Coturnix japonica: one gene and its partner. The protein of the gene in region 1 interacts with the protein of each later gene in a pairwise test. Links are inferred from orthologs where the notes say so. Each region holds a gene or a part of one and is shown in the gene's direction. Other genes may lie near its edges.

Region 1 (4,456 bases):
CTCTGGAGACAGATTTTGATGTTTCCTGCATATTGCACTTTTCCCAGTTACAAGGAAGGGAAGACGCTGGACACATGCTTGTAAAGCAGCCTAGGAACAGTATCACTTTCCACAACCTACATGGAAGGGATGTGAGCCACAACCCCATACCTGATCACAGGTTTGTAATCAACCCCAAACAACTGCTGCTGCCTCTGGATCCTCTCTGTGGACTCAACTGGGACCAGCCTGTCCCCTCCTTCTGCATGCTTGCACACCAGGACCCAGCCTTCCTCCAGATCACAGCCACTCTTGTATTCTTCCAGCTGCTCCTGTGGGGCAAAATACATCCTGTACGGACCCCCTGGACCTCTACAACTCCTTGAAAGGAGGTTGCAGCAAAGTGATGGTGGGCCTCTTTTGCTGGGTAACAGCAATGGGATGAGAGGCAGTAGCTTCAAGTGGCCCCAGGGAAAGCTCAGGCTGGATATTAAGAACAATTTCTGCTCCTAAAGAACGGTGCTGCAGTGACACAGCTGTCCAGGGCGGTGGTGGGGTCACCGTGCCTGCAGGTGTTCCACAGCAGTGGGGATGTGGCACTGAGAGATGTGCTCATTGGGCACGGTGGGGTGGGGGTAGGACTGGGTGATCTCAGAGATCATTTCCATCCTTAATGACGGTACGATACCACAGACACACTCAGCATTGCACTAAGGGCCCCGGGCCTCACATCGCCACCAAGGCCCGAGCCTGGAAGGGACAGTGGCACGGGGTGTAGACACGAGCGATGAGGAAGGCGGCCGGAACACAACCAGGTGGCGACAGGACGCGGCCAGAGGGCGGCGGGGGGAACGAGGCGATGTCAGGGGCCGGCGGGGCGGCTCTCCACCCAAGGGCCGGGGACCGGGCCCCTCCGCGGGCAGCGCAGGCCCCGAGCCGCCCCCCGCTCCGCGGTAGGCCCGGACCCTCGGAGCGCAGCGGGGGGCGTTACCTTGCTGAGCTTCACCCACAGCCCCGCTCCGTTGCAGTACTCCTCGCCCGTAGCGCGGAGGCAGCCGCCCTTCCGCACCTCGATGGTGGCCCGCGCCGCCCGCTTGGAGCCCCGCGCCGGCCCGGGGCTGTCCCACACGCTGAACAGGCTGCGGGACGAGGCGGCGGCCGACGGGTCCTTGCAGATCTTGTACTGCACCTCGCGGGGCACGTAGCACAGCGCGGCGGGCAGCGGCCGGGAGCGGCGGAAGCATTCGCTGCACTGCAGCAGGAACCGCAGCCGGCCCAGCACCTGGTGCGGAGCCTCGGCGCCCGCCCGCATCGCGCCCCGCAGCTCCGAGCCACGCACCGCCGGTGTGACGGGGGTCGGTGCTCACGGCTTTACGGCAAACCACGCCCGCCGCACAGCCAAGATGGCGGCGCCCGCAGGCAAGATGGCGGCGCCCATGAAGCGTACGGCGAAGAGGGGAGCAAAGCAAGATGGCGGCGTACGGAGGGGTGAGGGCGGGGCAAGATGGCGGCGCCCGGTCGGCGTGCGGAGGGGAGGGGTCACGGTAAGATGGCGGCGGGGCGGGGCGGGATGAGGGCGGGGCGGGAAGCGAGACGGGATGGAGGGCAGCGAGCGGCTGGTGTGAGTAACCGGGAGCGGGGTCAGCGGGGGCTACGGGATCGGGAGGGTGACACGGAGCGGCCACGGGGCTCATGGCGGCCAGAGCGGCGTGGGACCGGGAGCACGAAATGGGACGGGACGGGCGGGACGGGAGAGTGCGCTGTGATCAACCGGGACCTGACCCCGAGTGTTGGGATCAACCGGGACCTGACCCCGAGTGCTGTGATCAACCGGGACCCCGAGTGCTGTGTCCAGCCGTGTCCCCGAGCTGTCTTGCTGCGGGCACGGGGCCGTTCCTGAGGCGCTGCTCACTCCGCTGCTGCGGTACCGGCCCCGCTATGGAGCTCTGGGCTCCGTCCATCGGGCTCTGGGCTGCCCCCATCGCGGCCCACACGTGTGCCCCCCCGCCATGCAGCCCCTGGAGCTCTGTGTGATAGATAGCGCCGTGCCCTGCAGGCACACGGCCCCTGTGGGAGCAGCTGCAGCCGGCGATAACGTAATCGCACCGAGGGGCCGTCGCCCCGCTGCCCCCAGAGAGGCCCGGCTCCCTGCAGCCAACAGGTCTGAGAGCCAACAGCGCTGCCCCGGTGCCCTCCATGGTGACCAGCCCCGCCTGCTGTTCTTCCAGCCCCAAGGGCTTCCCCAAGCTGAAGAATGACACGTTCCTGCGGGCGGCTCGTGGAGAGGACACGGAGCACACCCCGGTGTGGTGCATGCGGCAGGCGGGGCGATACCTGCCGGGTGAGTGGGGGTGGCAAATAGGGCTGGGATGGTGGCATATAGGGCTGGGTTGGGGGGGGCAATGGGAGCCAGCACAGCCCTCGTCACCACGGCTGGTTCCTTGCAGAGTTTCGGGAGACCCGGGCTGCTCAGGATTTCTTTGACACTTGCCGGAGTCCCAAGCTGTGCTGTGAGCTGACGCTGCAGGTGATTGTCCTCTGTGGGGGTTGTGTCCCATTTCCCCTCTTATAACAGAGGTGGCAGGAAACTTTCGGTCTGGCCTTTACCCCCAAGTGGCTCACTAGGTTGTGCAGCCCAAAACGTGGCTCAAAGTCCCTGAGTTCATCCACAGAGTGACCCCCCAGCATCAGACAGGGCCCTGCCCACCCACTGCACCCCATATGCGTGTCCCAGCCCTCATAGGGACAGGGACCCACGCTACGTTTTTCTCTCCGCCATCCACAGCCACTCAGACGATTCCCTCTGGATGCTGCTATCATTTTCTCTGACATCTTGGTGGTGCCCCAGGTGAGTTACAATCAATGGTGGGGAGCAATGACTGGGCACGGGGCTGGATCCAGAACTGCCACATTCCTGCCTCTTCCATTCTCCCCCGTCCCCAGGCACTGGGCATGGAGGTTGTCATGGTCCCCGGTAAAGGACCCACATTTCCAGAGCCCCTGAAGGAGGTGGAGGATCTGCTGAAACTACGGCAGAAGGTGGACGTGACTGCAGAACTGGGTTACGTCTTCCAGGCTGTGACACTGACACGGCACAGCCTGGAGGGCAAAGTGCCCCTCATCGGCTTCTCCGGGGCACCTGTAAGTGATAGGAGTCTGCAAAGTGGGTTTTCCTGCTCTTCCCTCTGGAGTAGCGCTGGTCTTGGCACCTCCAGAGCTGCAGGGACCAGCTTGTACTCGTCCTATATAGGCAGAGAACTAGTAGAGCTGCTGCTCCTGCACACAAGTCTGTCTTCAGCACTGATCCCACAATTATCCCCTCACATGTTTTTCATCTCACCCCGCTCCTCTCCTTCTTGCAGTGGACGCTTATGTCCTACATGGTTGAAGGGGGTGGCTCCACTACGATGGCAAAGGCCAAGAGCTGGCTGTACCGTCACCCTGAAGCAAGCCACCGACTGCTGAGGCTGCTGACTGATGTTGTCACCGACTACCTTGTGGGGCAGGTGGCTGCTGGAGCGCAGGTGTGTCCTGAGGCATGGGGACAGGTCCTCAGGAGGGCAGGGACTGGGGACAAGAAGCAGAGAGGTCCAGCTTGTGAGATGAGGGACTGAAGCACTGCACTGCATAGTACCTGCAGCTCACCCAGCCCTTTGTATCCAACAGGCGCTCCAACTGTTTGAGTCTCATGCAGGGCATTTAGGCCCAGAACAGTTTCGGGAGTTTGCCCTGCCATACATCCGAGACATTGCCCGGGATGTTAAGAGCAAGCTGAAAGCAGAGGCACTGCCACTGGTGCCCATGGTAAGTGGGCAAGCTGCCTGGGATATCCCTGTTCCCTGGGAGCACATGGAGGATTATGGCTGCGAGGAGAGGCTGGGAGAGGGTACAAAGGGATGCTACCAGGATAGCAGTGTGACAGGGTCTGTACCTGTATCTCTCATTGTCCCTGGCATCTGGAGCTCTGTCTCCTGGAGTTACTGCCCATTTCCTCCTTCCCCAGATTGTCTTTGCGAAGGACGCACACTACGCACTGCGTGATTTGGCACAAGCTGGCTATGAGGTTGTCGGTCTTGACTGGACCATCCAGCCCCAGGAAGCTCGGTAAGAGTCTGGCACAGCACTCTTATCCTGACCCTTCCCTTTGTCTGGCTGCCCTGCTGCATTGCAGGCCTGAAATTTTCTGGTGCAGAGGAGAGGATAGTCAGGCCCCAGTGCTTTGTGAAGCTCACAGCAGCCGGGAGCTGCACAAGGGGTCCTGTAGCTGCTCCTGATCTCTGCACCACACACAGCAACTCACCTGTTTCCTCCCTGCTCCAGTGCACAGGTAGGGAAAGGTGTCACTCTGCAAGGAAACCTGGATCCCTGCGCTCTCTATGCACCCAAGGTGAGCCATGGGCCTCCTGCCTCCATTTCCCCACTTACAACCCTCACTCATGTCCCAGGCTGATGGTGGCTGGGACTGGTGGGGATGGGG
Region 2 (4,327 bases), on another chromosome or scaffold:
TGTATCTGAAGCCACAGCAGCACATCACCAGATAGAAATGGCATTCTCTGAGCCTACAGGCAGCACCCAGCACCCCATAAAACTATGCCTGTTCCTGCACTCACTGCTGTTCAGCAAACCCTCCAAGCAGCGGTGTGCAGTTGGGTTTATAAATTACAAGGCAACAGACAATGAGACAAAATTAAAGACATTACTCCTGGCTCCCATAAATTATCTCTGTAGTCTATTTGAACAGCATAGATTTACCAGCACATGTGGAAATAGGAAGAATACCCACCTAACAGACTAACTGGGTATTAATGAAAAAGGAGAATAGAGTGTTGTGTTCTCTGAAATGCAAAAAGAGAAATACTCCCACTGGTCCCGATAATGCCGTTCCAGGGGGAACGAATCATCATCTTCCATATTGAAAAAGAGTGCGATCTCGTGGAGTCAAAAAGAAAAGAGATTTATTAATAAAACTAATTACACGCTTCGCTCATGGAAGAATGCAAGGCACCGAGTAGCCCAGGAGAGCCGGGCTCTGTGATTTCGCCGCGTTACAAATTCCCCGCTATTGCCGGCAGCTCTCGGCGGGGCTTAGGACGGGGATCCTCAGAGGGGTGCAGCGGGATCACCCCACGGCCCCGCACGGCACTTCTCATCGCCTCTCGGCGCCGTCCCGAGCAAACTCCGGCTCCCGGTTATCCCAACCCCTCTCCGAACCGGCGGGCTGGGCTGTTTCATGGCAGCGCTCCCTTAAAGGGGCCGCGTACGAGCACGCGTGTGAGTTGGTGCGTGAGCGCGTTGCACACGCAGCCGTAAGCGCAAAGAGCCCGTCCGACCTCCGCCCGCGGATCTGCCTCGGCGGGGAGCAGAGCGCTTGGCATGTAGAGCGAGGAGAAAGAAAAAGGTGGGGAGAGGAGGAAAAAGGGAAGGAGGGGGGAAAGACGGAAGGAAGGGGGGGGAAAAAAAAGAGAGGAAGGAAAAAAAAAAAAAAAAGAGCTGCCTCTTTAAATGCTGGGGGCTGAGCGCTCGCCGGGGCGTCCGCAGCCGGATCCAGCGTCCCTCCTCTCGGCCGTGTCTCCCCGGCGCCTCCTGCACAGCCCCGAGTGCCGGCAGCGCGGCTGCGGGCGCTGCTGCTGCGGGGAGCGCGGAGCGGGGCCGGGGGGGCCATGATCGCACCCGCCCCCAGGAGCCGCGCCGCCTCCGCCCGGGAGCCCTAAAGCCGCTCGGCGCCGCGCTGCCGTTCTCCGCGGTAAGTTTGCGGCCACACGGTGCCGGCGCGGGGGCGAGTTGAACCGGGATGGCTCACCTCCGCCAGGGGTGGAACTCCGCCGTCTCCAGCTCGGACCTCCGGACCCCCCTTTTAGCCGCGCCCTCGGTCCCTAACAGGTGGCTCGGTGCTCCCCTTCGGCGCCTTGCTCCTCCTTGTTGCCGGCTAACAGGTGGCCGTGCTGCCTCACCTGCCCCTGGGCTCTGGCAGTGGTCCGCGGCTGTCACCTTTATTCCCCCTCGGCTACTCGCAGGGCTGTGTTGCAGCATGAAGTGTGGTTAAGGTGGGGAAGGGGAGCGGGGGTGGACCGTGCTCTGAATCCCTGCTCTACTGTCTCTCTGGCCCCTTGATAGCCACGCTGTGTGTGTGTCGTTACAGCGGGCATGGGGAACCAGGTGGAGAAGCTGACCCATCTGAACTACAAGGAAGTTCCCACGGCTGACCCGACTGGCATGGACAGAGATGAAGGGCCCAGGATCGGGGTCTCCTACATTTTTTCCAATGACGACGATGAGCTGGAGCAGCAGCAGGACTCGGGACATGACCTCGGGGGTGAGCACCCTGCCCTGCAGCCCTACGATCCCCAGCTGCATGAGGTGGAGTGCTCTGTTTATTACCGGGATGAATGCATCTACCAGAAGAGCTTTTCTGAGGAGGATGTGCTGCCGGAGGAGGGTGAGGAAGGAGGCAGGGGACACCTGAGCACCTACACCCCAGAGAACCTGCTGAACCGCTGCAAACCAGGTGACCTGGTGGAGTTTGTGTGCCAGGCCCAGTACCCACATTGGGTGGTCTACGTGGGGGATTTTCAGGTTGTGCACCTGCACAGGCTGGAGGTGGTGAACAGCTTCCTCACCGATGCCAGCCAGGGCAGGCGGGGCCGTATTGCCAACCAGCTGTACCGCTACAAACCCCTCAGCCCTGCCACGGTGGTACGTAACGCCCTGGAGCAGGTGGGCTGTAAGGACCGGGACCTGAGCTGGAGAAACTCAGAGTGTTTTGCTGCCTGGTGCCGCTACGGCAAGAGGGAGTTTAAAATCGGCGGGGAGCTGCGCATCGGCAAGCAGCCCTACCGCCTGCAGATCCGGCTGGGCGACAAGCGCAGCCACACGCTGGAGTTTCAGAGCCTGGAGGATCTGATCATGGAGAAGAGGAGAAATGACCAGATCGGTAGGGCTGCCGTCATCCAGGAGCTCTCCAGCCACCTGCAGGCTGCAGAGGAGGAGGACGACGAGGAGGAGGAAGATCATCCCCACCATCCAGGTGCCCGGACTGCTGTGGAGTAGTGCCTCAGCACCGCCATGCTACTCGGGCTGGGTGATGGGGATTAAAACGGAAGGCTGCGAAATTGAGCTGTTATAAACCCTTTGGGCGGCTTCAGTGCAGCTTCATTCCGATCACATGTGAAAGGAAGGGGGAAAGCTGATTAAGTGTCTGTGCTTTAGTGCTTAACTCCTTCAGTGCTCGATGATTAAAAAAAAAACAAAACACTGACTTATTGTAGAGGATAAAACTCAGGGCAACTCTACCCTTCTCTGCTCCCACCTCTTTCCCTTCCTCTGTGCCAGCCCTTCCCTCCACCATCTGCCAGTAGGCCTGACCCTATGGGATGCTAAATGCCTTTGACATCTACTTATCGGCAGAAGTTAGGAGTACTTAATACTATTAAGGAGCCAACAGCTTCAGGACATGGCCATGTTTATTTGAGTGTATGATCAGTCGGTAGCCAGAAAGTGTGATATGTTGCTGTCATTTCTCTGCCTGTTTCTCTTCAGTTGTGGCTCAGTTGGTCTTGCAACAGGCTGCTTGCTCGCTTGTGTGGTGCTAGGCTTTATGGATGGGCGGCCAGCTCCCCAAGAGGTGCAAGGGAGAAATCAGTGCTGACTTCAGTGAGATGTTTTTGTGTTCGGTGCTTTCTTAATTAATAGAAATGTGCAGGTAAGCTGGGGGAGCTCTGCCTCTGCTAGCAGCACGTGGTTTGATTGGGGAGAGAGGAGCTGTTATTGCTGACTGGTCCCAGTGAGGAGGAAGCTTGCAACCCTGATTGCAGAGTCTGCGCATTGGTGCGTGCTTGGGCTCTTATAGGCAGATACTGAGCTGTGCTGGAGCTTGTTACAGGCTTCCCCTAAAGCAGACAGCAGAGATCCCGATGACATCTGTGGAGAGCATAGAGGCCATAGAAGTAGGTTGTTTGTGTGTACCAGCACATCTTCACTAAGCTACACCTCAAGAAGGGTGGTCTCATGATTGGGAGTGTGGCAGAGGTCCTGCACAGCAGCACTCCCTCCCTGCGATGGGAAAGGAGTGCAGGATGGAAGGCAGGGGCGTTAGTTCTATTTTCCCTCCTTTATCACAAAGCAATTTCTTCTTTAGAGACTTTGTGTTTCCTTATTTTCTACTAATTTTTCTGTTGTGCAGCTGAAATATAACATCGGAAAAGAGGATTTGAATTGGGAGTTGTTATGTAGGTCCCCTATTAAGTGGGTTGGGGGGTGCAGCGCTGCCTTCCTTGAATGTTCCCTGAATTCTGCTTTCAGCTGTTGAACTGTTCTCCCACGTGGGCGCCATCAGATCATTGTCCTGAGATCTTAAGTGTGCAAGCAAACAGATTTGGACGCCTGCTTATAATACAAAATTCCTTCCCTTTAAAAGCACAATAGTGAAGAGGTGAACCTGAAGATAAGCTTGAGCTCATTTAAATAACAGCAGTTCACGTTGTGCTGTAAACTTGGAAGCATTGTTACTGCTGTCTTCCCTGCGGTTGTTTATGGTTATACCACAAATAGAAAAGTACTCCATGTCCTTTATGCCCCTTGGGAGCAAAGACTGTCGATTAGGAAGTTGATAGCAATTTTTGATTAGTTAGAACTACATAAAGCAACTTTGACAGTATGGTTTAAACAAGTCTGAGTTGTTTTCTTCCTAAGATACACAACCTGGAGGGGAACAAAGCAGTGATAAACTCTTTCAGCCTTGCTTCCAGAGGAAATGTGGCTTTAAGGTTATGCAAATACACCATACAGTGTTTTCTTAATGACTCTGTGTTCTCATTTTGGGCTGCAAAATGCTCAA

What was found.
Region 2: the proteins of UROD (region 1) and LRATD2 interact in binary tests that used the Homo sapiens proteins (3 or more experiments, as listed by UniProt). The two-hybrid records come from large-scale screens. The link is inferred for Coturnix japonica from reciprocal best matches to the Homo sapiens genes UROD and LRATD2.

What each region holds. Positions count from the first base shown.
Region 1 is NC_029523.1:18,554,009-18,558,464, forward strand, and holds the start of UROD (uroporphyrinogen decarboxylase), read left to right. Parts: upstream 1-1,562; 5' UTR 1,563-1,577; coding exon of another isoform or gene 1,578-1,600; intron 1,601-2,133; 5' UTR 2,134-2,175; coding exon 2,176-2,320; intron 2,321-2,426; coding exon 2,427-2,506; intron 2,507-2,764; coding exon 2,765-2,827; intron 2,828-2,922; coding exon 2,923-3,120; intron 3,121-3,341; coding exon 3,342-3,503; intron 3,504-3,645; coding exon 3,646-3,783; intron 3,784-3,982; coding exon 3,983-4,083; intron 4,084-4,299; coding exon 4,300-4,366; intron 4,367-4,456. Other genes in the region: E3 ubiquitin-protein ligase HECTD3-like, read right to left, coding at 151-311, 971-1,291. UniProt on the Homo sapiens protein: Catalyzes the sequential decarboxylation of the four acetate side chains of uroporphyrinogen to form coproporphyrinogen and participates in the fifth step in the heme biosynthetic pathway.
Region 2 is NC_029517.1:125,552,753-125,557,079, reverse strand, and holds the start of LRATD2 (protein LRATD2), read left to right. Parts: upstream 1-1,243; 5' UTR 1,244-1,538; intron 1,539-1,633; 5' UTR 1,634-1,638; coding exon 1,639-2,541; 3' UTR 2,542-4,327.